Linked DNA regions of Mus musculus: region 1 is reported to be linked to region 2. The links are microRNA targets in miRTarBase. Many come from high-throughput screens and were not tested one by one. Region 2 holds a microRNA gene; the other region holds the end of a gene's coding sequence.

Region 1 (15,635 bases), not on the chromosome of region 2:
AAAGCCAGTTGTGGCAGACTTCCTCCTGGAGTCCCTGGTCCTCCAGGTCCCACAGTTTCTACTCCTCCTGAGACTCCTACTCCAGAAACCTTCATTCGCCTGCTGTAAGCTGAAGTCTCTTGTTCCATCAATAGGCGAATCTCATAAGCATCACGGCTCAGATTCATGATGAGGGAAAACAGATAGTATCTGAGACACACAGGGAAAATATGTGAGTTAGAAAGAGCACAAATGTCTACTGAACAATTCTTCTCATAGACTGGAATGGGATTCCACATTAGAACACCAGAAGTGATTGCTATACTCCACTACTAGAAATGTCCACGCTGGGGCTGAAGAGATAGCTTAGTCGGTAAAGGCACTTGCCATCCAGCCTGAAGATCTAAGTTTGATCCACAGAACAACTGACTTCCCCAAGTTGTCCTCTGACTTCCACAGACACATTAATGTACTTACATGTACCCACATACCCAATATAAACAACCTAATATATTAAACTACATATAAGAAGATGAATAGATAAATCACTACTTTTAAAGCTTTATTTATTTATTATTTTATGTATATGAGTGCACTGTAGCTGTACAGATGGTTGTGAGCCTTCATGTGGTTGTTGGGAATTGAATTTAGGACTTCTGCTTGCTTTGATCAACCCTGCTTGCTCTGGTGGGCGCTTGCTCCTATCAACTCTGCTCGCTCAGTCACTGCTCACTCTGGCGCAAAGATAGATTTATTTATTTATTTATTTATTTATTTATTTATTTATTTATTATACATAAGTACAATGTAGCTGTCTTCAGACACACCAGTAGAGGGCATCAGATCTCATTACAGGTGGTTGTGAGCCACTATGTGGTCGTTGGGATTTGAACGCAGGACCTTCAGAAAAGCAATCAGTGCTCTCATCCACTGAGCCATCTTGCCCAGCCCGATAAATCACTTTTTAAAAAAGTTTAAAAAAACATATATCTTGGACTGGAGAGATGGCTCAGTGGTTAAGAACACTTCTCTTCCTGAGGTCCTGAGTTCAGTTTCTAGCAACCACATGGTAGTTTACAACCATCTATAATGAGATTTGGTGCACTCTTCTGGTATGCAACCAGAACATTGTATACATAATAAATAAATAACTCTTAAAAGTGGGAACCCCTAGAAGTGGGAATGTCGCTCACTGGTAAGAGTACATGCCTTCCATGCACAAGTCCTGGTTTCAATATCAGCAACACCAGAAAAGAACTGTCCTTTCTTGACAACATAATAGGTTCAATACATCTGATACAGAAAGACTCACGATCTCACTTATGAGTTAAATCTAAACAGCCTAACTTACCAAAGTATGGAATAAAACTGTGGTTGCCAGGATTGGAGGGGACAAGAAACAGGAAGACCTTAGCTAATGGGACAAACATTCAGTTCGTTCTATATATCTAATGTGGTGACTACAGTTAATATATCAGTTAACATAATAACAGTTAATATAATCATGGACTTGAAAGTTGCTAAATGGGTCATCGATTGATCTCAGCACATGTTCTTATCATTAAAAAGATGTCACCATGAGGTTATGAGCATTTTTAAAATATTTATACTATGTATATGGGTTTTTTGCCTGCATGTATGTCTGTGCACTATGTGCATGCCTGCCACCCAAGAAGGCCAGAAGAGGGCATGAGACCAGCTGGAACTGGAGAAACACTGGGGTTGAGCCGGTCCCCTCTGGAAGAAGAGCTAGTATTCCTAATTGCTGTGTCATCTCTCCCACCCCATTAGAAGGATGCTGCACTCCTGACTCTGGTGATCACCTCACCATATACATATACAAAACACCACACTGTATGCTTAAATTCATATAATTATATCTCTGAAATAATAAAGAAAAAGCAACTTTCCTGCCAGTCTACAATGTGCTTATGTGCACCTTAAGGTCCTGGTTTAAAATTTATGAGTCATGAAATCTGCCAAGATCAACTCCAAATTCCGTTTTTGAGACAATCTGTCTGATGCACCACACTCTGCACTGGAGAGATGGCAGTGGTCATGTGCTTGCCATGCAAGACTGAGGCCCTAAGCTCAGATCCCAGAGTCTATGTCAATGCTGGTAGACATGAAGACAGGGACTCCCAGAACAAGGAGGCTAGTCAGACTAGCATTGTGTAGGTGAGCTCTGGGCTCAACTGAAAGACCCTGTGTCGATGAATACAGTGGAGAAAGACAGAGGGAAAATTCCAAAGCCAACCGTGGGCCTCTAGATGCATACATGTGCCCAGACATTTGCACACACTTGTGCAAACACACACACACACACACACACACACACACACTGAGGGAAAAAAATACACTTAACTTGACCCTAGTAATGCAAACTATTTTGAAAGCACACATTTAGTTGTACAAGAGACACATACAATCTCTGAGTTCAAGGCCAGCCTGGTCTACAGAGGGATTTCCAGGACAGCTTAAGCTACACAGAGAAACCCAGTCTCAAAAAGCCAAAAGACAGAGGACAGAGGGGGAAAGAGAGAGAGAGACAGACTGACAGAGACAGAGAGGAGACAGAGAGAGACAGGGGAGTTAGTATTAGAGTTAGTTACAGGCTGAAGTGGTGGTGCATAGCTATGATGTCAACATTTAGGATCAGGACTTCAAGGACAACCTGAGCCACATGAGACCCTGCCTCAAGAAAGAGAGAAGAAAACATACTTATACAGACTTTAGATCCAATCTCTTAGAAAAAAAAAAATCAAAGAACTCTGCAAAGGTCCAGATATATCCAGTAACTGCTAGAGATACTAGATTATAAATTTTTAAAAATTTTTTTAAATTTAAGATTTATATTTCTTTCATGTATATGGGTACACTGTCACTGTCTTCAGACACACCAGCAGAGGGCATCGGATCCCTGTTACAAATGGTTGTGAGCCACCATGTGGTTGCTGGGATTTGAACTCAGGAACTCTGGAAGAGTAGTCAGTGCTCTTACTCACTGAGCCATTTCTCCAGCCCCGATTATAAATTTTTAAGCAGAAAATAAATATACTTTTTGGAACAGAGTCTTACTCTGTAGCTCTGGCTGACCTGGAACTCACTATATAGAGTAGGCATACCTCAAATTCACAGAGATTCCCTCTGCCTTTGCTTCCTAGTGTAGAAATTAAAGGCCTGCATCACCACACTTGGTCCAGCTCAAAACTTTTTACATTTTTGTTATTTTGGTTTGAGACAGGATGTATTTCACTATGTGGTTCAGGCTGGCCATGAATTTTTTTTTCCTGTCTAAATCTTTTTAGTGTTGGGATTGCAGGTATACATTAGCTAAGTCTTAAAGCCTGTGTGTGTGCATTTGTGTGTGTGTGTTACAAGGTATGCATATACAGAGGTCAGAGGTAGACATCAGATGCTCTCCTCTACTGTGCTCTGCCATGTCCTGAGGCAAGGTCTTTCACTGAACCTGGAGCCCCACTTGTCGGATAAGACCCTGGCATCCTCCTTTCTCCACCTCCGGGCAGCGCAGTACCAGGCTCTCGGGCATGAGCAGTGCACCTGACTTTATGTGGATGCTGTGGATCCTTGTGCTTATCTGCAACAACCACTTTTCATGACTTAGACACCTCTGCAGCCTGTTTTTGTTTTTAATCTACTCTAGCTACAGAGTCTCTCTGTGGCCATTCTCGCCCTACCCTGACTGCTGCTGTTGATAAAGAAGCTAGGAGCATGAATGTAAATCACAGCATTACATCTGCTCTTAAAAGTATCCACTTCCCCTCCTTTTTTAGTTTTCCGAGACAGGGTTTCTCTGTGTAGCCCTGGCTGTCCTGGAACTCACTCTGTAGTCCAGGCTGGCCTTGAACTCAGAAATCCGCCTGCCTCTGCCTCCCAAGTGCTGGGATTAAAGGCATGCGCCACCACTGCCTGGCTCACCCTTAGTCTTATCTAATAAGAATCAACCCTAGATACCTCAGCTACACCCTTAGCCCTTTAATGTAACCATGTATCATTCTTTTCATAATCACTAAAGCCGTGTGTGTGCACATGTGTGTACACGTGGCATGTGTGCATGTGCGTGTGTGTATGTTCCTGTGTGTAGATGAAAGTATAGGCAGGTACACATGCATGTGCCTGAGATGGAGACCAAAGGGACAAGCTCAAACCCAATTCCTGGTACTGCCTACCTTATTTCTGGAGACAGGGTTTCCCACTGGTCTGTTTGCTGTTTGTTGTGAGTGATTATCTGCTTTAGGTTTTTTATTTAAGATTTCTTTGTTTTATGTATATAGTTTAGCCTCAGGTACCATGTCTTGTGCACCATGTACATGCAGTGCCTGCAGAAGCCAGAAGAGGGCATCAGAGTCCTTTAGAACTGAGAGTTACAGATGGTTCTGAGCTGCCTTGTGGGTGCTGGGCTCCTAGTGCTCAAGTTCTGCCAAGTACAGAAGAGGGGGTCTCCTGCGTCTGCCTTTGCATCAAGATGTCTCTCAGCTCTTCCAGCACCATGTCTGACTACAGGCTGCCATGCTTCCTGCCATGATAATGGACTGAGCCTCAGAAACTGTAAGCAAGCCCCAATTACATGTTTGCCTTTATGAGAACTGTCTTGGCCGTGACCTCTTCACAGCAATAAACTCTAACTAAGACATCAGGTTTGCTGGTTTTTACTCACTGGGTCATCTTAAACTTTATGTTTCAAGGATCAGGCACCACATTTGTCTGGCTTTTGCTTAACCTCCTGGCCCATAGTAAGAAACCGAGAAACGTTTCTGGAAAATCCAAGCACAGTGAGAGTGGCACGTGCTTATGGAGTCCCAGCTGCTAGGGTGGCCAAGGTCGGAGGATGCTTCTAGGAATTCTGTAACAGCCTGAGCAACAAACCAAGATTTCATCTCTTTCATGTGTGGAGGTACAACATGCATGGGTATATACGTATATGTGTGTATACACATATGTGAAGCCCAGAGTTCAACCTGGGGGTCTCTCCTCAGGTGCTATCCACTTTGTTTTTGAGACAGGATTTTCTCACTTGGCCTGGAACTTGCTCATTTTCCCAGGCTGGCCGGCCAGAGAGCCTTAGGAATTGTCCAGTTTAACTCCACACTGCTGGAATTGCAAGAATGTGTCAGTATGCCTGGTTCTTGGTTTTGTTTTCTTAACATGGGTTCTGGGAAATCAAACTCAGGTCTTCATGCTTATAGAAGAACTGTGTTATCTCAGTCCTATGGGACCCCGACCCCATTATCGCAAAAGAAAAAGAAGCTAGACATGGTATCACATGCCTGTAATGCTGTCCTAGAACCCGGGCACCTAAAGCAGGAGAATCCTAAGTTTCAGGCAAGACTGGGCTACATAGTGGGACCTACCTAAAAACAAAACAAAACAACAAACAACAAAAACACCACACAAGATGACTCAGCAGGAAAAAGGCATTGTCACCAAATGTGATGACCTGAGTTCAATCTTGAGATCTAAGTGGTGGAAGGAGAGAACCAACCCTTTCAAAGTGTCCTCCATACAGAGTGGTAATGCCACATCCCTCAGAGAAACCCTGTCTTGAAAAATTAAAAAAACAACAAAAAAAGTAAACAAATAATTTACAGTCAGTTCATCCATGGAGGATCAACTTCAGGATCTTTCCCCCTGCTCGCCCATCCAATTCTACCCAAACCCACAGCTGCTCAAGTCCCTTAGATAAAGTGGTATTGCATCTATACATACTCCACACAATTCTCTGTATCCACCTCGATTGTTTATAATATTTCATACAATATATGTGCAATGTTTAAGGAATAACGACACAAACAATTTTCATGTTTAATTCAGATGCACTTTCCCCTCAACATTTCCAGCCTGTGGTTGCTTGAATCAGCAGATGTGGGAACAATGGGCGTGAAAAGTCATTGTACACTCAAAAAAAAAAAAAAAATCCTGAGACCCCTCTGTCTCATATATAGCAGGTTATGGACCAGGAGGATGGAAGTGGAGCTGGGCCAGGAGGTGGAAGCTCTTGCCACGCAAACCTAATGGCTTGAGTTTTATTCTCAACCTGAGTTTGATACCTGGAACTCACAGTAGGAGAAAACCAGCAACTGAAAGCTGTTGTCTGACCTACAGATGTGCAGCACCTACAATAGTAACTTTTATTAATGTAAATATATGGGTCTAGAGTGATGGTTTAGTGGTTAAAAGCACTGGCTGCTCTTCCCTGGGACCTGGGTTTTGATTCCCAGAGCCCACATGACAGCTCACAACCATCTAGAACTACAATTCTGATGCCCTCTTTTGGCCTCTGCCAGCACCAGGCACACAAATGGTACACAGGCATGCAGGCAAAATACCCATATGTGTAAAGCAAAATGTTTACTATTACAAGCGATGCAAGCTTTGCAAGCTTTGCAGAATGAAGGCTACACATAGTCTTGTAGGATAAAAGGAAAACCAACCTGAATGAACGCTGTGCCCACTTTTCCTGGTCCACTCGGGGAGCTAGCCCAGACTTTCCAGCCCATAGGACATTGTCACAGGCAAAGTACAAGGCTCGGTTGAGGTGACTGACAGTGATGCAGAATCTCAGAACGACATCTGACAGGTGCACAGCCCTTTTGGCTGACTCCAGGGCATCTGTTGAGTTCCCCAGGCGTAGCACTTGTAGAGATTAACAAGGGAAAGCAAGGGTTTGAAGTCCAGAGGCAGGGGTGGGGGTGGGGAAGAGAAAAATAAAAGTTGAGCAAGCAATAATAACATACAGGAAGAAAGAGTAAAAATAATTTGTTCTTTTTCTTAACTTCCAATCGTAATTCATTTTTGTGCCAGTTTAGTGTTCTCGTGCCGTGTTTTTCCAATCAGTGCTAACTTCCTTATACCTGTTCTCTGACCTCAACTGGAGGCATGCAGGAGAGTGGCAAATGATGGCGAACTGGCAGAACGGGAGGAGAGGCCATGGGCTACCAGCTGAGGATGATAAGAGGAAGGTCTGCTTTACTTACACTTTCGTCCGAGGCTCAGATGACCCTCCAGTTGTCGAATCTGTTTCTGTAACTCGGGACTAGCCCCATGTCTCTGCAAAGCATGGCCGAGAAGGGAACAGGCATACTGGGCGGCCCTGGAGGGGAGGACACGTAGAGTAAGGGACAGGCCTCCCTAACCCCTCTGCCAACCATATCCTCCGTGGGCTGGTGAGGCGGTTAAGAGCACTTGCTCTTGCAGGGGACCCGGGTTCCACTCCCAGCACCCACACGGTGGCTCATAACTGTCTGTAACTCTAGTTCCAGGGATCCACCACTCTCTTCTGTCCTTTGCAGGCACTAGACACACATGTGGTACACATACATTCTTGCAGACCAAACACTCAGACAAATAATAATTGGTAAACAAAAACCCCACCAGGGACACTTCCTCGGTTTCACACCAATATCTTTCCATTTTTTTCCTCAAAGCCAGGGGAAGGGAAAGACATGCGAGGAAAATAAAGCCTAGAAGATGGTGGAGAGCACTCTTTGGAGTTAAGAGACTAAGAGTTTTGAAAATGATGAGGCCTAAAGTTTAGGGCCAGTAAGCAGCCCGGGGTTCATCGCAGACGTCCACACTGCGATTTTATACATGAAACACGACAGAGGAAGATCTAGTTGAAGGGCAGATTAGTTCTCCGGGTAGGTAAACTAAGAGATAGATTAAGGTTCTTGGACTGATGGAAACCGAAGAAGAGCCGAGATAGCGAGGCTCCTAGGTCACAACTGGTGAGAGGACGCAGAACCGAGAGGATCGCCCCTCGTGCCACCACAGCAGCGAGGAAACTGTTGCTCTCTGTGGACACAGTAAACCTAGGTGGCCTCCCCGCTGGCCCACTCATGCCTCAGTTTCCCCATCTTTCCCTTGAGCAGGGAAGAATCATCTCACAACCGGCTGCGGAGTACGCCTCCGGGGCCGCGCGGGCCCCCGTAGCCACAGCTGACCCTTAGGGACCCCGTAGCGCGCCCGTCGCCTCGCGGGACCCTGCTCTGCCCTCCCGCCCGCGCTCCTCCGTCGGCCGCACCTACACAGCCGCTCCCGGGCTTGGCTCTGAGCACTGAAGCGGACCCAGGCGTCCATGACAGCGGCAGCCCGGGCCCACGGCGCAGCGGCCCGCCTGCTTCCAGCCCCAAGTCACGCCTCCTGGGCGAGCAACGGGGCTTCGCGAGGGACAAACGGCGGCAGGAAAGCCAAGCAGCCGGAGCCGGCCTTGAAGTGGAATTTCAGGACGCGAAGCGAGATCGTGGGTGCATTTCCGGCAGCTCACCCTTCTCTGGGATGGTCTCCGGCTTTTAAGCACGCCCCTAGGAGCACATTCTGCTTTAAATTCTCAGCAGCAAGGGGTGGGGCCTGCGGGAGCCAGGAGGCGCTGTAGGTTGCCGCCAAGGCGCACACGCCACCCGCCCCAAACGCCCAGAACAGCAGAAGCCTGTCCTAGACTATTTGTCCTAGGGAAAGCGGATGTAATGAGATGCCGCTTGACAACGATGGTCTGCTATACTCAAAGATTGGTGCCTAGCCCAATTGTCATCAGAGAGGCTTCACACAGCAACTGGTAGAAACAAAGGCACAGACCCACAGCCAAAAGTTAGGCAGACCTTGGAGAATTTTGCATAAGACAAGGGGAAGGACTGTACAAGAAAATGCACAGAGTCAAGTAAACTGGGCCCATAGGGGCTCAGACTGAACTGCTACAGGGAGCCTGCATGAGACTGCTTCGCACATGCTATAGTTGTGTAGTTTGGTCTTCTTGTGGGACTTCTAACAGCGGGAACAGGGGCTGTCTCTGATTCTGCGGGACCCTTTCCTCCTGCTGTGTTGCCTCATGAAAGACTTAATCAAAGAAGGTGCCTAGTCTTACTGCAACTTAATATACCATGCTGTTGATACCTAACGGAGACCTGCCTTCTTCTGAAGAGAAATGAAGTGGATGGGGAGAGGCAGTAGGGGGGTAAACTCCAGGGGATCCAACACCCTTCTCAAACCTCAGCAGGTACCAGGCATGAACATGGTACACAAGGAAAACACTTTTACACCTTTACACATTATTTAAAAAAAAAAAAAAAAAAAAAAGCGAAGCCGGGCATGGTGGCACCCGCCTTTAATCCCAACACTTGGGAGGCAGAGGCAGGCAAATTTCTGAATTTGAGACCAGCCTGGTCTACAGAGTGAGTTCCAGGACAGCCAGAACTGCACAGAGAAACCCTGTCTTGAAAAACAAAACAAAAACAAACAAACAAAAAAAACTTGCCTGTAGCAGCAATAGCCTGACTATAGTTGTGAGGAGGAAAAAAACCAAAACAACAAAAAACCTACAATATCACAAACAAGATCTCTACAACCACTATAAAAAGAAATCTAGGGCTGGAGTTGGCTCTGCTGCTTTTCTACTGGCTGCTTTTCCAGAAGACAGATTGAATCCCCCATCCACATAGCAGCTCACAGCATCTGTAACTTCTGTTCCAGACGCTCTGGAGCCCTGTTCTAATCTTCTCAGGCACCAGGAACACAGATAGTATATAAACATACATGCAGGCAAAAACCTCATTAGATATTTAAACCAAAACCACTGTGTAGTGGTGGTGCATGCCTTTGATACCAGCCTTGGGAGGAAGAGGCAGGTAGATCTTTCTTTGTGAGTTCCAGACCAGCCTGGAGAAAGAAAGTGGGGTGGGGGTGAGGGAGGAGTCTGGAGAGATGGCTCAGTGGTTAAGGGTACAGTCTGCTCTTCCAGCTCACAACTGTTTCTAACTCCAATATATCTGACATCCTCACTTTACTTTTTTTGTTTTTTTTCGAGACAGGGTTTCTCTGTATAGCCCCGGCTGTCCTGGAACTCACTTTGTAGACCAAGCTGGCCTTGAACTCAGAAATCTGCCTGCCTCTGCCTCCTCTGAGTGCTGGGATTAAAGGCGTGTACCAGCCAAAATTTGAAAATTTTATGGTATAAAGAATGACATTAGGAATAGTAAGAAATTGCCTTTTTTTAAAGATTTATTTATTATTATATGTAAGTACACTGTAGCAGACGTTAGACACACCAGAAGAGGGCATCAGATCTCATTCCAGGTGGTTGTGAGCTACCATGTAGTTGCTGGATTTGGACTTAGGACCTCTGGAAGAGGTGGTTCTTACCCACCCGCTAAGCCATCTCACCAGCCCCAAGAAATTGCTTACTTCTTTAAGCTCAAGTTTTAAAGTCATAGTATGTTAAAGAGGGTTTCTACTGTACATGGTTAAGTTCTGTATAAAGAAGGGGAGTTAGAAGGTCACACAGTAAATTGATGAGGTTTCCCCCCTTTCCATCCCCTTTCACCCAGGACAAGATCTCATAGGCTAATCCTCCACCTGGCTATGCAGCTGGGGATGACTTCAACTTATGATTCTTTAGCCTTCACCTCCCCAGTAAGTGCCAGGATCAAAGGCAGGAGTGTCGTACCCATTTGGTCCTGTTATAAAGCCTGGGGCTGTGCATACTAGGCAGTCATTCTACCAACTGAGCCACATCTCTAATCCCTATGAGCTATTCTTATTTCTCAGAGTAAAGCCAGAAGAGCATCTTCCCAACTACGTGACCATACCCTTCCTATCCAGGCAGCTCACCTACTGGTTCTCTGGCTGATACTGTTTACCAGCCCTCAGGACCTCATGCTTACTCAACTCACTCTTCCAAATACCTTACAACAGCTAGAAATCTGAGAACCAGGCGTATCTTCCACAAAACCAATACTTATTTAATCTACCTTCTCAGAAACCACCAAGGCATCCTAAACCCTGCAAATCTCAACTAAGATATATTCTTAACCAATTCAATTCAAACCCCAAGCAATTTATCAAAAGGAAGAGAAGGGCCAATAGCATCTGAAAAAACGTTAAGTTTAATATTTGCCATTATGCACTGGGGAGAGAGAGACAGGAACATCAGTCTGAGGCCAGTGTGGGTCACATAGGGACCTACACAAACAACAAACCAGCTGCTACAGACATACCAAAAAATAATTTCAACTAAAAACTATGATAAAAGCCGGGCAGTGGTGGTGCACGCCTTTAATCCTAGCACCTGGGAGGCACAGGGGAGACAGTCAGGGCTACACAGAGAAACCCTGTCTCAGAAAAATTAAAAAAAAAAACAAAACCCCCCCCCAAAAAAAAAAACAACCAAAACCCTATGATAAAGGGATAGCAATGTCTTTTTTTCTTGAGACAGGATCTCTCTGTGCAGCCCTGGCTATCCTAAAACTCTCCTGTAGACCAGGTTGGCCTTAAACCAAAAGATCCACCTGCTTCCCAAGTGCTGGGATTAAAGGTGTGCATATTGTTACATAGTACCCAAGCTGGGTTTTTTTTCTTAAAAAAAAAAATTATTTATATGAGTATGTTGTAGCTATCTTCAGAGGGCATGGGATCCCATGGTGAGCCACCATGTGGGTGCTGGGAATTGAACTCAGGACCTCTGGAAGGACAGTCAGTGCCCTTAACTACTGAGCCATCTCTCCAGCCCATCAAGCTGGGTTTCTTTTACATTGTAAGAACTAATAAACTTCACAGTTCAGCACCATATTCAACATAGAGTAGGCTAAGCATCACAAAGCCCCTGAAGTTCAAGGCCAGCTGCACAGGCTCTGACAGAGAAGCAAGAGACACTAATATAACATCTGCTCACAAGAGTTATGCAAAATACATTCCTTAATTCCACAAGAAAAATCTCATTATCCCTACCCTTATCTTCTAAGACAAAGAAATGCTGAACAGTCTCCATGAGCCTTTCTAGAAACTTAGAATGCCACGCCAGACAGAAGGATCTTCACAATCATTCACAATGCCCCACTGTAGTTGTTCAGTTTCCAGAACAGTAAAGTAATAAACATAGAAAACAAAATGGAACATTTATTTTTTTCTAAAACTCAAAAGCAATGCCAAGTAGATAGGGTAAGAAATTAAATATAAACACAAGGTCCGCCCTAGCCCTGTTTATCCAAGGCAGCATAACCAAATGGACTTGTAGAGAGACCACCCAGTCGACAGAGGATTTATCAACGGCGTCTCCGGTCTGGACTCCTGCTTCGTCTTCGGCCTCCTCTAAGAAAATGAAAAAACAGAAGGGGAATATCAGAGATCTAATACTGAATCCTTATTTATCTTGCTCATGTTCCCTTTACTAAGATAAATAAATGTACAACCCCCATCCCTTCATCTTACCTCCTCTTGCCCTTTGGTGGTCCACGAACAAAACACCAGTCCACACTGATTGGCTGCCCCATCAAATCTTGACCATTTAGTCCTTCCATGGCAGCCTGAGCCTCTTTGTATGTTTCATATTCAACTAGAGTATACCCCTAGGGGAGCATATAAAAGTATCAAAGCTTAGCCAGGCGTCACACACACACTTTTAATTCCAGCATTAGAGAGGCAGAGTCCAGCCTAGTCTACAAAGTGAGCCCAGGACAGCTAGGGCTCTGTTATACAGAGAAACCCTGTCTCAAGACAAACAAACAAACAACAAAAAGTATCAGAATTTTACTTCACCAACCAAGTACTCTTTTCCTTAAACCAGAAATGCATAGTTACAAGAAAAATTTCGCAGCTATACACCACATATCCCCATTATATACACAAACATGCTCATTCTGTTTCTGTCTCTTTCATGTGGGTAACAAAATCAATTTCCAATGTCATTTCACTTCCTACCTGTGCTTGATCAACTCACAAAAACAACATAATCAATGTATCTAAGAGTTGTAAGTGAGGGAAGCAAGAAAATCTACCTTCAAGTATCCCGTGCGCCTGTCCAAATTAAGGTGAATATTTTTTATTTCCCCATATTCAGCGAATTTGTCATGGATATCTTCTTCAGTGGCTTCTTCGTGGACTCCAGTGACAAAGAGAATCCAACCTTCAACAGCTGTTGGGTAGGGAAAGTGTTGTATGAACATGTAAGCTAAAAAGCCCAGTATTCAGGAGGCAGAGGCAGGCAGATTTGTGAGTTTGAGGCCAACCTGGTCTACAAAAAGAGTTTCAGGACAGCCAGGGCTTAACAGAGAAACCCTGTATCCAAAACAACAACAACAAAAAAACCCAAAACCAAACAAACTAAAAAAGAAAAATTCTGAAAAGAACCTACAATAAGCAATTTTCTGAGACTGGTTAAACAACTCTTTACTTTGCATTTGAGTGCCAGTGCACACAGACTCCCCATAGGTCCTATTTACTTACAGCGCTGTGGTCCAGGTTCATCGCCGTCCTGCTCCACACTGTCGTAATCCTCCCGCATCCGCGCTCGGGACCCCTCTTCTAAAAGAATTCATACCAGATCACCGAAAACTGTCCTCCAAATGTGTCCCCCTCACACTCCCAAATTCGCGGGCTTCTGCCTCTTAGACCACTCTACCCTATTCCCCACACTCACCGGAGCCAAAGCCGCGGCCCTTCCGTTTCTTTGCTTTTTCTTTTAGTTTGTGGATGCTTTCTAGAGTTCCAGGTGAGAAAATAAGAAGCAACAAAAATAAGAGTCATTTGAAAAAAAAAACAAAAAAAACCTGTCGCGTTTCCTAGACTATCTGGAAGCTTCGACACAGACTCCAGCTTCAGTCCCTTCCCAGTTCCGCCCCTAATTCCTTTCCCAAGGGGGAGGAGTCTATCTTTTCAGACCCAGTTCGTGGGGTGACGTCCCAGGAAAATTTCTACTGCATTCCCCTCTCGCACCTTCCCCTCTTCCCGCAGTCGCCTCCACTCTCCTCACCGTCCCCATCCTCATCCATGGCGAAATCTTCGCCCCCCGCCTCGTGAAGATCCAGCACGTCCGCCATCTTGCTTCTCTCGGCGCTTTCTGAGTCTCTAGAAGCTAAGCACCTCGGGAAGCTGTCGCAGAAGAAAAACGTCACGAGTTAGGCTGACCAATTAAAGGTTGCCTCCAAGTCCCGCCCTCGGCGCGGTGAAAATTCGCCAATGTAGGCGGCCCCACTATGAAGCGCTAGAAACGTCCAGCACTCTGGGACCCCGATGGAGCTCTGCGAGTATGAGGCCGTAGGCTACATGGTTTGTGATTGTGTTTTGTTTTCTTTTCTTTTGAGGCAGGGTCTCTCTATATAGCCCTAGCTGGGCTCGAAGTTACAGATATCCAACTATATTCCCCTTCCACATGCTGCTGGGATTAAAAGCCTGTGCTACCACGCCGGGCTCCAAGGCTACAGAATGAGACCCTTTCTCAAAAACATAAAAAGTAAAATAAAGTGGTTTCGGAAGTTCTACAGCCAAGTTGATCAGGTAGATTGAAGGTCCGGAGCGCAGCCGCGTTGGGGCAAATTTAAAGGGTGAGTGAAGTCAGTGACTTTCTCATAAAACTTTCAACTAGCAAGAAATCCTTTGATACATATCTACATATATGGGTTTATTGAAATGACTTACGGGCTGCAGTCCAGCTAATTGGAGAATAACTAGATGTGTCCAGAAAGTCGAAGAATCTAGTATTTGCTTAGTTCCACAAGGCTGGATGTCTCAGCTGGTCTAGAATCCAGAAAAAGTAGGCTCCAGTGCCGGTGAAGAAACGGACTTATGAGCAAGGCAAAGTGCAAAAGTTTCCTTCATCCATGTTTTTATATAGGCTTCAGCAAAAGGTGTGGCCCAGGTTAAAGGTGTGCCTGCCCGCTTTAATCCCAGCACTTGGGAGGCAGAGGCAGGCAGCTTTCTGAGTTCGAGGTCAGCCTGGTCTACAGAGTGAGTTCCAGGACAGCCAGGGCTACACAGAGAAACCCTGTCTCCAAAAACAAAAACAAAACAAACAAACAAAAGATTAAAGAAAAGCCTGTGTCTTCCTGCCTCTAGATGTAGCTCAGAGGTGTTCTTTCCTACCTAAAGTCTGGACTAGAAGTGGATCTACCCACTCCACCAAACAGAAAATCACAGGTGTGCCCCTCATTTCTGGATTTGTAGTTCATTCCAGAGAGAGTAAGCCTGACAACTGAGAAGAACCATCTCAGGTGTTTTTGTTTTTGTTTTTTTTCTTTTCAATACAGGGTTTCTCTGTGTAGCTCTGGGTGTCCTGGAACTCACTCTGTATTTCGAGGCTGTCCTCGATCTCAGAAATCCGCCTGTCTCTGCCTCCCAAGTGCTGGGATTAAAGGCATGTGCCACCACTTCCCCGCTCAGGTGGTTTTTTTTGTTTGTTTATTTTTTATTTATTTGAGTACACTGTAGCTGTCTTCAGACACATTAGAAGAGGGCATCAGATCCCATTACAGATGGTTGTAAACCACTATGTGGTTGCTGGGATTTGAACTCAGGACCTCCAGAAGAGCAGTCCGTGCGCTTAACCACTGAGCCATCTCTCCAACCCAGTTTGGTTTTTTTTTGTTGTTGTTTTTTTTTTTTTGGGGGGGGGAATTCTGGTTTTTTTTTTTTTTTAAGATTTATTTATTTATCTATTATATGTAAGTACACTGTAGCTGTCTTCAGACACACCAGAAGAGGGCATCAGATGTCATTACAGATGGTTGTGAGCCACGATGTGGTTGCTGGGATTTGAATTCAGTACCTCTGGAAGAGCAGTTAGTGCTCTTAACAGCTGAGCCATCTCTTCAGCTCCTGTTTTGCTTTTAAAGAGTTGTCTTGGTCATGGTGTCTGTTCACAGCAGTAAAACTCT
Region 2 (15,635 bases):
GATAAAGAGGATCATGGAAGCTACATTTGCAACATTTTTATATTAAAGGTATGATGTACCCTGCTTTACCTAATTTGTTGTCCATCATGTAAAACATAAATGATGATAGACACCATATAAGGTAGAGGAAGGTTCACTATGTTCATCACCTGGAACATCATTGTGGTATAGAAGCATTAACCCTTGTTAGAGCTTGCTGGCCTTAATTTGGCATTTGTATCTAAAGGACCAAAGTTTAGTAAGGTGCATTTATTCTTTTTTTTCCCATTTTTTATTAGGTATTTAGCTCATTTACATTTCCAATGCTATACCAAAAGTCCCCCATACCCACCCATCCCCACTCCCCTACCCACCCACTCCCCCTTTTTGGCCCTGGCGTTCCCCTGTACTGGGGCATATAAAGTTTGCAAGTCCAATGGGCCTCTCTTTCCAGTGATGGCTGACTAGGCCATCTTTTGATACATATGCAGCTAGAGTCAAGAGCTCCGGGGTACTGGTTAGTTCATAATGTTGTTCCACCTATAGGGTTGCAGATCCCTTTAGCTCCTTGGGTACTTTCTCTAGCTCCTCCATTGGGAGCCCTGTGATCCATCCATTAGCTGACTGTGAGCATCCACTTCTGTGTTTGCTAGGCCCTGGCATAGTCTCACAAGAGACAGCTACATCTGGGTCCTTTCAATAAAATCTTGCTAGTGTATGCAATGGTGTCAGCGTTTGGATGCTGATTATGGGGTGGATCCCTGGATATGGCAGTCTCTACATGGTCCATCCTTTCATCTCAGCTCCAAACTTTGTCTCTGTAACTCCTTCCATGGGTGTTTTGTTCCCAATTCTAAGGAGGGGCATAGTGTCCACACTTCAGTCTTCATTCTTCTTGAGTTTCATGTGTCATTCTTCTTGAGTTTCATGTGGCATTTATTCTTTAATGTTAACCTTGCAGACACATCAAGATTTATAAACATTCAGATACAACAATCATTACATGTTTTTAAATTACAGATTTAGTTCAGTATATTTTTAAATTATAATTTAATTATAATATTTATACCTCTTATTTTTCCCTCCAAACACTTTCATATTTCCCTCCCTGCTCTCCCTCAAATTGATGATGTTTGTCAATAATTGTTACTGAATGTATTGATGTATTTTTATATAGCTATTTATTCCTAAATATATTCTGCTAAGTCTGTATAGTGTTACTTGTTTGTATGTTTTCAGGATGAATGTTTTGCACTAGACAACCAAATGGAATGTTCTTCCATGAGTGCTGGGAGTTAGGAGACATCTCCCAATACTGGCTTTTCTAGTTGTGTATAGTTCTTTGTGTAGGATTGAGGAATCATGAGCTTTTCCTGGTTTAATCTCAATTTTGACAGCCATTCGTGCAAATAACTGCTCATAATAACTAGATGGAAATATGTGGGAAAGAATACTATAGAATTATTTCATAAGGACATATAAATACAATTAAGGTTTATATTTTATGCTGTAGGGTGAATTGATAAATTTTGAGTGATAATTAAGAGTTTTAAGCGGGACTTCACATTTTTGGTTTATTTTTAACCTTAAGTTAATCTAGTTTTATAGTATTTATAAGTAGAATATAATTTTCCAATTAACAGAAATAAATGTGTGTTTACCTCTAAGTGGAAGAAAACTTTACTCATTTATTGTGGCTTCGTGAATATGAAAATGGTATTCCAAAACTTAAAGTTTTGGGGCTTCTGGGATTTTAGATGGCCATTTGATCTTGTAGGAAATATTATTCTTTTATATGATAATATTTTACTATCATTTGGTTCACAAATAATTTTGAGACTATATGAATGGAGGGTATTAAGTTAGGAAATAAATAAAATAAATAAATAAGTAAATAAAAATTAGGTAATTTATGTACGCATGTCTTTCCCACCATGGTGTTAGAATATGATATAGGAAAAAAAAAAGAATATGATATAGGCTAGGTTGCAAGATTGACAAGGTAAAAGTATGTTTTACTATCCTTAGTATTTAGAAATAATAAATATATGTTTCATGCATAGTTGTAATGGTAACTGTTTCTCTGATTTTTGCTTTTTCTTTAACTTTCATTTTGATGAGTTTTGTGTTATTGCTAGTTCATTTTTTTTAAATCAAGGGAAAGATGTTTGGGGTTGATGAGTGAGGTGGTAGGGCAGATCTGAGAATAGGTGAAAGCATGATCAGAATATATTGTAAGGGAAAAACATTTTTAGTAAGTAAAACGTGCTGGATGTATTAATTTGAATAAAAAAACTGAATATTAGCTGTAGTGAAAACTATTTATAGAAATGGTGACATAAGATGATACTATGTGAAAGAAAATCATGATATAGTAGAATTGGTAGGTATTCTCTAAGATTTACTACTAAATGAGGTAAGAATGCAAGAATTGTGGAGTTATGATTTCTAATTGAAGGTGACAGACTAGCTTTCTATCAGAAGTATATAAAATGTCTCATGTGCATTGATCTACGTAGATTGGTACCTATCATGTAAATCATGTAAGCATGAGAGATGCCATTCTATGTAGATTAAGGCTCATAACATTCTTCTTTTTTTGTGGCCTTGGAAGATCATTGCAGTGTTAAGTATAATGCTTCCCGATCTTTGTTAAGATCTTGTGCCTTCAGAAACTATATCCTCTAAGGAGGACTTAATTTAAACCTTCAGAACACATTTAGATATGTTAATACAAATATGGACATTGATAATTTTATTCTTAATCTGAAAAAATAAAATGAATATAGTCTTATATTTGTTTTATCAGACTTTCAGATAAGCAAGAGGGCATGGCATCCAGGCATAATAAGAAGATTCTTTATAAGCTTCTTGTTTGCTGCTTTATGCTGTGATGCTGATGGTGACTTGATTTAAATGAGAACAGTTTCATTCTACATGTACTGTAAGTTTCATCCTGTATGTCGCATATAATGATGTTTATGTTCATTTTAGATGCTCTTTAGTGAACTTTGAGGTTTGCTGCTACTCGAATTCTCACAATAGACATTAAGAATATTAGCATTTGTATTTTCTCTTTTGAAATTTTAAGTTTTTGAATTAAAATATAATTCTGACTCACTTTCCTTCCCACCCTCCACTCTCCCATATGGCCCCCTTTCTCTCTCTCTCTCTCTCTCTCTCTCTCTCTCTCTCTCTCTCTCTCTGTGTGTGTGTGTGTGTGTGTGTGTGTGTGTACACGTGTGCACATAAATATGTGAGTATGTATATAATATGGTAGACTACTTGGTATTAAATAACTAATTTGCTGGCTTATCCCTGTGAAAAGCTACTTTTTCCACTCAGCATTGCTTAAGTGTTTGCAGATTAGTTTTACATGCATGCATACATACATACATACATACATACATACATACATACATACATACATACTGCATACATTTATTTATTTGTCTAGGGGTTATGGCTCAAGAAACCAAATGAGTTTGATCACCTCTAGGTAGTAATGGTATAATGACTAACTATTGCTCTCAGCTTGACTGATTTTTTGGAATCAGCTAATAGATGAGCCACAGGCAACAGGGTCAGATTATTTCAAATGAGAAGAGCCACCCTAAATAACAGACAGTGCCTCCAATAGCATCCTACCTAGATAAAAGTGATAGAATAGAAAAAGTTGTTGGTTTTATTTTTTTTTTTTTTACTTTGTGAGATTATTATATAATTATATCCTGTTCTTCCCTACAAACTTTCCATATTCCTTCTTGCTCTTTCCAAATTTACAGTGTCCTTTTTCATTAATTGTTACAAACTATTCCCTCTGCTATATGTAACCCCTCTGGCTAAAGAGGTTATAGTTTGGTTATCATTATTCACTGGCTAATATCCACGTAGAAGTAAATGCTTACCATATGTTTCTATCTGGGTCTTTTTAAAACTCTCATAGGATGATTATTTTTCTAGCTCCATCTATTTCCCAGCAAGTCTCATGATGTCATTCTTAACAGGTAATACGTCATTGTTTAAATGTACCACAGGCTTTTTATTCAGTTTGAGGGACACTTAAAAAATTGGATTGTTTTCAATTTTTGGCTATTATGAATAGATCGGCAATGAGCAGGGTTAAGCATTTGTCCTTGTGGTAGGATGAAGATCCTTTAGGTATATGCCCAAAAGAAGTATAGCTGGATCTTAAGATATATCAGTTCCCAACTTTCTGAGGAACCACCATATTTTCTATTTTTGATGTACAAGTTTGCAGTCCCATTAGCAATGGAGGAGTGTTTCCTTTGCCCCACATCTTCTCTATCACGTTGTCACATGTTGATATTTAGCCATTTTGACAGGTGTAAAATGGAATATCAAAGTAGTTTTTATTTGAATTTTCCTGATGGCTAAAGATTTTGCACATTTATTTATTTTGGTGTTTCTCATTCATTTGAGTTTCTGTTATTGTGAATTTTCTGTTTAGACCTATACCCTATTTTTAATTGGATTTTTATATGTAATTTTAAATTCCTTATATATCTTGCATATTAGTCTTCTGTCAGATAATGCAGTTTGTAAAAATCTTTTCTTATTCTCTAGGCTGCCACTGGGGTGGAGAGATGACTCAGAGGTTAAGAATTTGGCATCACTTCAGAGTTATAAAAAATACATGGATTTTCAGGTATTGTGCTGTGATAGATGATAGATGATGTGATAGATGTCACAGAAATTGCTAAGTAATGAAAAATGTATACATTTAAGATACTGAAAATAAAAATTTAAATGTACAAGTTTATTTTTTCTCCTTGTTTCTGTGTCTCTGAGTTAATGTAAGCCTCCCCCACTGCAGTTTGTAGATACAACTTTTTGGTGATGTCATTGTAGGTACATTACCCCTAAACTCAGGTGCTTTGGTCCTAAGAGTGCTTAGTCAGATACTTTATGAGAGATGCTCTATCACTCAGTATTACCCTAGCATGAATACTTTTCCATTAGAGGAATAAAAAGAAATAGAGGACATGAGAGAACTTGTTCATACAAGAAAATATGGTACAAATCTTATTCTCTTCTTTGGCAATCCTTATTCCCTTTAAGAAAAGCGTCAGCTCTCATTTTTGAGAAATGCAAAGAGAAATTAAACAGTTTGGATAGCATGATCTTCATAACTCTTAATAGTTTAGGTATTGTCGTAAATTGGCAATTTGATAAAATTTGAGAGGGATAATGAAGCTTTTGCTAAGTTATTGCTAAAATTGGTTAAATAACATTTTGGAGTTAGTCTCATGCTGAATACTGGGACTACATTTGACTAGGTTCTCTCTGGGTTATTAAAATTCATCATGTTTCTCACTTGATTTATAGTCTTAAATAGCAGTGACTTTTCACTTCAAGTAACATTGAGGTCACTTTTATATTAGTAGGTGAGTTAGGGTTACTTGATATATTTTGTATTGTCAATTTACCTTGCAAATGTACATAGATGAAGAAGCACAAAAGAATGAGCTCCTCCTACATGGGATCTAAATAAAACCATGTAGAAGAAGGGAAAAGGGAAAAGGTAGTATAATTTCCTTTCCTGAGAATATTAAAGAAATTTACTAGTATTATATCATGTTACTATGGGAGAATTCATACATGTCTTCATACATGTCTTTGGGGATTATGGAAATTATCTGAGAAATGCTTTCTTTACATAAAAAGTTGTGGAATGAGTTGGAAATGACTAACATGCTTAAAGTATATTCTTTGAAAACAAATTTTTAAATAAAAACTTAAAGAATAAAAACAGAAAGAACTTTCAGTGACTCCATAATCTGAAAAAGAAAATGGCAACAAGCTTACTCAAAGCGGTTTGTTGACACAAAATGAATGTGAGAGGGATCCCTTTGAACATGTATGGTAAAAGGTATTGTCTACTATATTCACTAAGACTTGTGAATATGTTAGGTCATGTTGCAAGTCCCCTATACTTGAACATATATGTTGAAAGCTCAAGATGAAGTTAAGTTTCTTATGGGCTGTATTTTATTCACCTTGGTGTTTATCAAGTGAATGACTATGAAAACCACCATGGTGGTTAAAGTAAAGTTCATAATGTTCTTCATATTGGTTAGAATATGTAACAGCAGTTATCCTTCACATGCCTTTCTGAGACATGTTGGAAATAAGTGCCTCCAGAAAGTGTATTCCCAGGTAGGCCTTAATTTTATAATGGTCACATCGTAAGTGCAACACTTCATTCTACAAGTCCTATATTCTGCATTATTCAGAAGTCACTCTTCCATGTCTAGCATGCTCCAAATACAATTTTGCAGGCGTACCATGTAGACTTTGTGGTGTACATGTACACAAACCAACAGTATGTTACTTTATGATAGAATGCTCTGTAGTCACTGTCATAGCAGACATATTTAAGATGTGTTCATGACATAATCTTTATTTTTAATTTGTGGGTTACAGGCAAAAAGTATCAAGAACCTAAAGGAGTGTACTAAAATAAGGAAGAAAAATTAGGAATCAGCTTAATATCTTAGAAATGAGAACAATTCTCATAAACAGAAGGTAAGATAGGAAGGACATGATCTTATAAGAATGTGTACTATTTTACAATAAATATTATATTCTAAGATTGAAGAATAAATTAGACAATGATTCAGGTAACATATTATGAGTGGTAGAGTAAATGATAGAGGCCTCATTTGCAATACGTTTATATGAAGAATATTGTGAGCAGTGCTTTACGTAGTATAGTGCTTTTCACATTAAACAAAAAGTGAAAGGTGCCATACTATGTATAGGAAGGCTTACCATGTTCCTCAATTGTTGTTGCTTTATACCATCAACATGGTTTGAGTGTATACCTTTACAATGGTTTTCTGGTTCTAGTTTTCTTCATCTAGGTTTTGTTTCCTGAGGATAATTTCATTTCTCCAATATCCCCTTGAGGAACAACATATGGATTTACAAACATAAAAATCTAGAAGACACATTTCACTTTAATGTCAACAAATAACATTAATATGATGTTATTGGTTTTGTTTTTGGCAGTCATCCTAGTAAATAGGAGGTTACTATAAATATGTAGGAAATACAATAGAAAGGGCAATTGAGTTTTATTTCATAGGAGCTATCAGTACATATGATTATAGAGTTCAAGATTATAAAGATTGTGAGGTCATAAAATATCTGGGGTAGATTTTGTTGATTTTTCACTTTCTTCTGACAGATGTGACTAGTTTGTTCTTCTGTAGCAGGCTCTAAACCTGAGTAAGACTTCCAATTGTTCCTTTACCTTGGCAGCTTGCATTGAAACTTCTGATATCATGAAAGCCAGTCCTCAGAGAAAAAGTCTAGGCCAATATCATCTTTATTCTTCCAAATCCTGTTTCTGAAATGTGAGGTGCCTTCTAGAATAGGGTTTTACTTTGAACTTTGGGAGGAAACCAGTTGTCTATTGGTTTGTTGGTCTCTTGGATCTGACCTGTTAATAAAGTCAAGCTAAGAAAAACTAAATTGGCACAAGGACAATTAAACAAGGCAAAAGACATGACCATGGTTATAATTCCAGAAAGGAAAACATGATCAAGCTTTTGTTCTTGGTATTGACAAGCATTCATCTGAAGATTGTACAGGTAAAAAAACCTGCTTTCAGAAAGATGAATGGTGTAGGGATATGAGTTTATTATTCTCTAGAACTTACAATTAAATCAAATCAAGGTATAAATATCTTGTTTTACAAATAATGATGGGATATCTGAAGGCAACGATTTTAATAATGAAGTTTCTGCAATTTAACATGAAGTTTCACATCAATGGCATTCCATCTATGTTGGATTCCTTCATGAGAAATAGATGTAAGTACTTCTTCTCTAGATGAAAAAAATGCTCACCATATTCCTCATGAACTTATTGTAGCATCTTGAAGGTAAAAATATAATTCTTGGATTTATATTTAACTGGGCAGTTGGATTATATTTAGTGTTTTCTCAGTTTAGCTCATCTTGCCTCAGCGACTATATGAAATTCAGTCGTGAAGATACTTGATGAATGATTCTTCAATGAGTTCATGTTTCCTCTGGGAACAGCCTATGATCTCAGGAACAAGAATCTGCACCTAGACGCCAGTTGCTAGGCATAAAGTTTCATGTGGCCTATTACTTCAAGAGACAAGAATGGTAGAATATGCCAGTGGTACAGTGTAAGCTACCTGGCATTTAGTTTCTCATGCCTCTAACCTCAGTATGGTTCTAACGAGTAAAAAACACCAAATGTCTGTCTTCATGTGATCCCTGAAACCCGAGGCAGGGATTACCTTCATGCACACGTACATAATTTAGACCATACTTACCACTTGGGAATGGGCACCTAACTGATCAGGGGACTTATCCTTAAAAAAATACTAGCTCTCCCTTAGCAGCCTGAACTAGATATGGGAATTATGGACCCTTCCTCAATCAGTCTTTTGCAAATCTTGTACGAGCAACCATTAACTGTTGAAAGTGTGTTGGTGAAACAGCCTTATCATGTACAAAAGACAGTAGTTTACACTTTGACAAGTTGTGATTCTTTATAAAATAGCCTTTTGTCTTATTTAAAAAACAAAAACAAAAAACTTTTGCTGGGCAGTGCATGCCTTTAATCCCAGCATTTGGGGGCTGGTTGGGGGGTGGGCAGAGGCAGGCATATTTCTGAGTTTGAGGCTAGCCTGGCCTACAGAGTGAGTTCCAGTATAGCCCATGCTACACAGAGAAACCCTATCGAGAGAGACAGAGACAAAGAGAAAACAACTTTTCATCAGAACTGTGAGTTGCACTAATCAGTGAGTATAAGCTAAGCACATATAATGTAAAAAACCAAAATGAAATCAATCTCATCTCTCTGGTTTTGACAAAAATTCAGTGGAACAAGTGTTAAAGGAAATGCTTAGAGGAAAAAATATGGAGTGGTTGAATCTTAGGGTCTTCGGAATATCTTTGTAACTTACAGGTATTGTAATACATTGTGCTTGTAAGATTTTAAGTGACTATAACAAATACCTATCTCCTTCAAGTCAAGAAGACTATATTCCTCACTTGATCTGTCTTTGGGATAGTGATGATTTCATTTCTGTAGGTAATGTTGAAATCGTTTTTTCCATATGTAAACCTTTTGTATCTAATGACCTAGGTAGTCTTTGTGTTTTCAGTTATTCATATCATGAGAATATAAAGTATAAACTATATTATATCAATGTAATGTAATAAAAAGTCATGTGAATGGTTTATAAATCACTTGCTTCAGAAAGCTAAATGGAGGTAAAGAAGATTATAATTGCTCTTATCTTAATTGTGAAGAAAGAAATTTATTATATATGTATACTTGATAGTCCAAAAAATTGTAATATCTTTTAATTCTTTCAGACTTAATTTCCTCACTCAATATTCTGTGTGCAATGCATTACTGAGAATGGGTAGCAGTCACTTTGTACTATGAGTAACTGCAACATCTCTCAGTATTGTAAGGTTCAACAAATACAAGGGTGGTAGCCACATGGACATAGTCTTCACACAGTGGATGAGTTTCTTGATTTCAAGATACATTGCAGTCACTTTAAAACAGACATCCCCATGATAGATTTGTTGTTGCTTTCATAATTTTAATTCTAGTGTTATATGAATATGAAACATCTTAAGATATATTAATATGGAAAATAATAACATAATAATGAGTTTGAAGTCTTGGAAGTAGGGAATGCTATGAGAAGAATGTGTAGTGAAGAACAGTAATTAGTTACTCTCTGAGTCTCAGGAAATAAGATTAGAATGTGTTTTTAATTTAATTTATGTTATAGTGATAAAGTATCCTGACAAAAAAGAAATTTAGCAGGGAAAGGATTTATCTCAGCTCATGATTCTAGGTTCTAGTTAACCTTTCTGGAGAATTCAAGGCAAGAACTCAAGGACTTTGTCATATCACATCCACAGTCAAGAACAAAGAATAAATACATCCTTGCTTGCTTAATAGTCAGATAGTTTCTATCCCTTTTTGAAAAATTCCTTTATTTACTTTTATTTTATGAATATTTATGTTCCTGCATATATTTATATGTATCACGGGCATGATGGTGGCTTCAGAAGCTAGAAGAAATGTTGAATCTCTTAAATCTTAAGTTGTAGGCAGTAGCAAACTACCTAGTATAGATGCTAGGTACCAAAACTGTGTCTAATACATGAACAGGAAGTTTTCTAACTTTCTCTCCTATCTAACCTATCTCTTTCCAGCCCTAATCCAGAGCTGAGCCTACGAAATAGTGCCATCTGTGTTCAGGGTAGATCTTCCTCATGCAATTAACAACTGAAATAATCACCTACAGACTTTGCTATAGTCCAACCTAATGTAGAAATCATCTCACTGAGGCTCTTTTTAATATATATATATATATATATATATATATATATATATATATATATATATATATATATATATAATGTATGGGAGTATACTGTAGTTTTACAGATGGTTGTAAACCTTCATATCGTTGTTGAGAATTGAATTTTAGGACCTCTGCTCACTCTAGTCAACTCCACTTGCTCAATCCCTGCTTGCTGTGGCCCAAAGATTTATTATTATACATAAGTACACTCTAGCTGTCTTCTGACACACCAGAAGAAGGTGTCAGATCTCCTTACAGGTGGTTGTGAGCCACCATGTGGTTGCTGGGATTTGAACTCAGGATCTACGGAAGAGCAGTCAGTGTTCTTACCTGCTGAGCCATCTCACCAGCCCATTGAGGCTCTTTCTTACATTGTATAATTCTAGGTTGTGTCAAGTTGACAGTTAAAACCTACCAGAATAGACTGCAACTCCTCTTTATTCTTGATATTGAAATAATATGGATGATGTTATGGAAGCTGGGGGCTTAGAAAAAATCAGTATACATCCTCTGGAAACGAGTCTACTCAGAATGGTATTTACTGCATGAACTATAAGTGAAAGATAACATTCAAGGTAGAGTAAAGCTCTTCATAGTCTTCATTTGCTGTTGTCTTGGGTAGTCAGGGTTGAATGGGCAGACATGCAAGGTTGAAGGACGTTGTCACTCTCATTTCTGAGGATAGAAGAGTAAATAACTATGAGGTTCAGTTATCCTCTTTTCTGTGAGAAAGTCATACCTGTGAAGTTGTAAAATATTGCAATAGTTGGTGGTTTTCTGAAAGGAATCCTATCTTCCTCAACATGAAGTAGAAGTTCCCTGTTAAATAAGCATCAGGTACTTTATAATATGTGAATTTTTATTCTTTCTGCCTTTGCTATCACAGTATTCTGTTCAGAAAATCCTCTGCAATGAGTTCAACTATTCTTCACTTTTCTTCTATCAGATCATGTGTATATGAACTTAGGTTAAAGGTCCTTGAACTATTTTGAGTTGAGTTTTGTGGAAGTTAATGTGTGGGTCTATTTCTATTCTTCGACATCCAGCCATGCAGTTTGAGCAGCACCATTTTTGAAGATGCTGTCTTTTTTCCCCCAGTGTGTATTTCTAGATACTTTATCAAATATCAATTTTATATAGGTGTATGGGCATATGTCTGGGTCTTCAGTTCAATTCCATAGATCAATATGTCTGTTTTATATCAATATCATGAAACTTTTATTACTATAGATCTGTAGTACAATATGAGATCAAGGGGTGGTGATAGTTCTAGCACATTTTAGTTAGGAATGTTTTAATCATCCTGAGATTTTATGTGTACATGTGAAATTTTAAATTTTCTTTTAAATGTCTATGAAGAATTGTGTTTGAAATTTGATGGTGAGTGCATTGAATCTGTACATTGCTTTTGATTGTATGAGCATTCTCACATCATTAATACTACCAAGCCAAGGACATAAGAGAACTTTTCCTCTTCTGATTCTATTTCTTTCTTCAGTGTATTAATGTTTTTATTTCATGGATCTACTTGTTTTGTTACAGCTATTCCAAGGTATTTTTGAGGTTCATCTTGTTTCACTGATTTCTGTCTTAGTCTATAATTGGGGTAGAGAAGGGCTTTTATTTTTGTGTGTTAGTTTTTATACTGTTTTTTGGCTGAAAGTGTTTGTCAGCTAAAGGAGTTTCCCAGTTGAGTTTTTAGGGTCATTTATGTATACCACCATATCATTTGCAAATATACTTTGGCTTATTCCTTTCCTACTTATATACCCTTACTCTCTTTCAGTTGCCTTATTTCTCTAGCTAAGACTTTAAGTATTATATTGGAAAAATATGGAGACTTGTTCCTGATTTTGATAGAAATGCATTGAGTTTCTTTCTCCTTTATTTGGTGCTTAGTGTGGACTTGCTATAATTTGTCTTTATATTATATATTGTATTATATCTTTTACATCTCTAGTCTCCCATGAATAGATATTAAATTTTATCAAAGATTTTTTCTGGATCTCATGAGATGAAAATGGGATAATGAAGTCTCCTACTATCACTGTGTAGGGGTCAGTATGTGGTTTAAACTACAGTTGTATTTCCTTTATGAGCTTCAGCATTTTAATTACATGTTTACAATTGCAATATTCTCTTGGTGGATTCTTTCCTTTGATAACTATATAGTTTTCTTCCATATTTTTCTGATTAGTGTTGGGTTTAAGTTTATTTTGTCCAATATTAAAATAGCTATACAGGCTTGCTTCTTTTTCCACATTTTCTTAGAAAAATCTTTTTCCATATTTGTATCCTGAGTTGATATCTGTACTTGATGATAAGGTGTTAACTATAGTGCCTGTCTTAGGGCTTCTATTGCTGTGATGAAACACCATAACTGAAAAACAAGGTGCATATTGTTGTTCACAATCAATGGAAGTTATGACAGGAACTTAAGAACGAACTTCTGGAGGCAGAAGTTGATGCAGAGGCCATGAGGAATGCTTCTTTAAGGCTTGCTTACCATAGCTTGCCTAGACACCTTTCTTATAGAACATAGGACTATTGTACTGGGATAAGCACAACCCACAATGTGTTGAGCCCTCTTTCGTCTATCACTAATGAAATGCCTTACAGCTCAATATATTGGATGTGTTTTCTCAACTGGGGTTCTCTCCTTTCAGATAGCTCTAGTTTATGTCAAGTTACATAGGACTAGGCAGCACATTGTGTTTCTTATAGTGAAAGGATGGAACCTGTTGACAAGCCCAAACTAAGTCTGTATCTTCTCTTTGAGGAATTTAGACAACTGATGTTCAGTGATCACTGTTTGTTGTTCTTATTCTGTTTTTAAGGTATGTGTTTTCCCTCTTCTTTTGATTTGCTGGTCTTAGACAATTTATTTCTGGTGTATTTTTATATATGGTTAATTTCTGCAAGGTTCTTATTAACGCGTTCTCACGACCGGCCAGGAAAGACGCAACAAACCAGAATCTTCTGCGGCAAAGCTTTATTGCTTACATCTTCAGGAGCCAGAGTGCAAGAGAGCAAGCAAGCAAATGGCGAAACCCCATCCCTTTTTAAGGAGAATTATCCTCCACCTAGGATGTAGTACTTCCTGATTGGCTGCAGCCCATCGGCCCAGTTGTCATCACGGGAAAGGCAGAACACATGGTGGGAAAACTGCCCCTGCATGTGTGCAGACTATGTTTACCACTTAGAACACAGCTGTCAGTGCCATCTTATAATGGCAAATGTGAGGGCGGCTCCTCACAGATCCCCCTTTTCTTTTAATAAGAGCAATAGGCCACCCATATTAATGAGAGTGGAGATAGAGGTCAAATCCCCAGTGTGCAGGTAAAGGAGCCGTACACATAACCTCCTCCCAGGCTCATCACCCAGAGGGGTCCTGGTCTGGTCCCGTGTTGTTTTTCCTGGGGGAAGGACACTTGAACACTCAACCTTCTTGAAAGATGACATGTCTCCCTAGAATAGGCTCATATGTGCCGCAGAGCCTTTCTACTGCAGTGCTTAGCCATGCAACTCTCTCGGGCTGCTGAAGCACACTCACTCTATCCCGTGCAATGAGACTAGCCTCATGGGATATAAGAGCTGAGTGGCCAGCGACCTATTGCCTAAGCATAGATATATCAGGGGGAGCACCATGTTCTAGAGCTGCAAGCGCCTGGGCAATAACCACCTTGTCTCTCCTAGTTTGGGCCTTAAGCTTACAGACCAACCAAAGAAGCAACACTAATCCACAGCAAAGTGTATCTCCACATAATCCCACCCCCATCCATTCTTTAAAGAAGGAAAATGCTGAGGAGATCCAATTGGGTAATCCTTTGATCAGGGACAGGTCCAAGCGCTTGGAGTTGACCTGAATGATGGCAAGTCTCAATTCCCGAAGGGTCTGTTCAAATTCAGCCATCCAATTCTGTAACATATACTGAAAAAGACTTTTTGACAAATTAGCTGCCCTAGTAAATTTAACATACTGAATGGAAATAACACACAATCCCGGAAACTTTTGTTCACATCCCTGCTGAGTTATTTGTCATAATACATCTAGTTGTATCTGGACAAGATCTATGAGTTGATTAACCAGCATGAGACCTCTCTGTACTGGGCCAAATAAGTTCATTTGCTCATTAATGGCTCTGAGGTCATGGAGCAGTCTCCACTTTCCTGACTTTTTCTTAATTACAAAAATTGGAGTATTCCAAGGTGAGGTAGAGGGTTCAATATGGCCTAATTTTAATTGTTCCTCTACCAGTTGAATCACAGCTTCTAGTTTTTCAGAGGATAGGTGCCATTGAGGAACCCACACTGGGTCCCCTGTTTTCCATGGTATGGGTCGTGCTGCCCCAATGGCCGCTATGGAAAACCCAGACCCTGTCTGTCTTGGTTTCCATTAGGTAAGATAGGCTCTATCCTTCCCTGTTCTTGATGTCCTAACCCTTTTCCTTCTTTATAACCCATCTTTGCCATGATATTTTTTGCTTTAGTTGAATACCCTCCCGATGGGGCGTTTTCATTGGACAAAATAAGGCCCAAATGCTGCATAATATCCCTTCCCCAGAGGTTAACCGGGAGTGGGAGCACATAAGGTATGAATTTCCCTTGCTGCCCTTCAGAGGATTCCCATGTCAAGGCAACAGAGCTTATAGTGGGACATGATTGATATCCTAGGCCCTGTAATGAATGAAATGACTCTGTGGTGGGCCATGCTTTGGGCCACCAATGTATAGAGATTATACTTTTATCTGCTCCGGTATCAAGGATGCCTTTAAACTCTTTTCCGTTGATCTTAAGGCGGAGCTTAGGTCTATCATTCAAAGATACAACCAAATAGGCAGAATCATTTCTGGAGGAGCCCATTTTCTTTATCTCAGGTCCTGCAAATTTCTCCCTGGTATTATCAGGGAGGAGCAGCAGCTGAGCCATCCTATCTCCTTTGCTAATAGAAAAAACGCCTTTGGGGCTTGAGCACAGGACCTGTATTTCAGGGGAATGTTGACAATCCATAACTCCAGGGTGGACTACTAAGCCCTGCAAGGTGAGTGAACCCCGGCCGAGAATAAGGCCCATGGTTCCCGGGGGCAAGGATGGTATAGGCTCCACCGGCACCGGCTGAATACTCATTTGAGGCATTAGTAGGAAGTCGGAGGCGGCACGCAGGTCCACCCTTGTGGGTCTTCCTGGGTCGCCTCTCTGACTGCTTCCTGGGTCCTGACAAACCGGTTCCCATATCTTTGAGGGCCCTGGGACCGAG

What was found. Region 2 holds the annotated microRNA mmu-miR-883b-5p (UACUGAGAAUGGGUAGCAGUCA, at 9,404-9,425, shown strand). A microRNA usually pairs through its seed, bases 2 to 8, with sites in the 3' UTR of a target mRNA and lowers its output. Matches are read on the target gene's strand: a 7mer-m8 pairs with bases 2 to 8, a 7mer-A1 pairs with bases 2 to 7 and ends in A, and an 8mer does both.
Region 1: the mRNA of Rbm8a is a reported target of mmu-miR-883b-5p. Seed matches in the 3' UTR shown: 7mer-A1 at 11,476-11,482.

Annotation. Positions count from the first base shown.
Region 1 is chr3:96,628,129-96,643,763 of GRCm38, reverse strand. Rbm8a (RNA binding motif protein 8a) reads right to left here and starts at 13,836. Exons shown (of 6, transcript NM_001102407.1): 1 at 13,736-13,836; 2 at 13,403-13,462; 3 at 13,210-13,287; 4 at 12,762-12,898; 5 at 12,196-12,332; 6 at 9,973-12,075. The coding sequence starts at 13,802. The coding sequence ends at 12,030. Pex11b (peroxisomal biogenesis factor 11 beta) reads right to left here and starts at 8,334. Exons shown (of 4, transcript NM_011069.3): 1 at 8,021-8,334; 2 at 6,975-7,090; 3 at 6,432-6,633; 4 at 1-189. The coding sequence starts at 8,076. It also overlaps the pseudogene 6330549D23Rik.
Region 2 is chrX:66,783,726-66,799,360 of GRCm38, reverse strand. It overlaps Mir883b (microRNA 883b), which reads left to right and starts at 9,394; the gene lies at 9,394-9,471. Mir471 (microRNA 471) reads left to right here and starts at 6,700; the gene lies at 6,700-6,766. Mir741 (microRNA 741) reads left to right here and starts at 2,486; the gene lies at 2,486-2,556. It overlaps Mir463 (microRNA 463), which reads left to right and starts at 64; the gene lies at 64-138.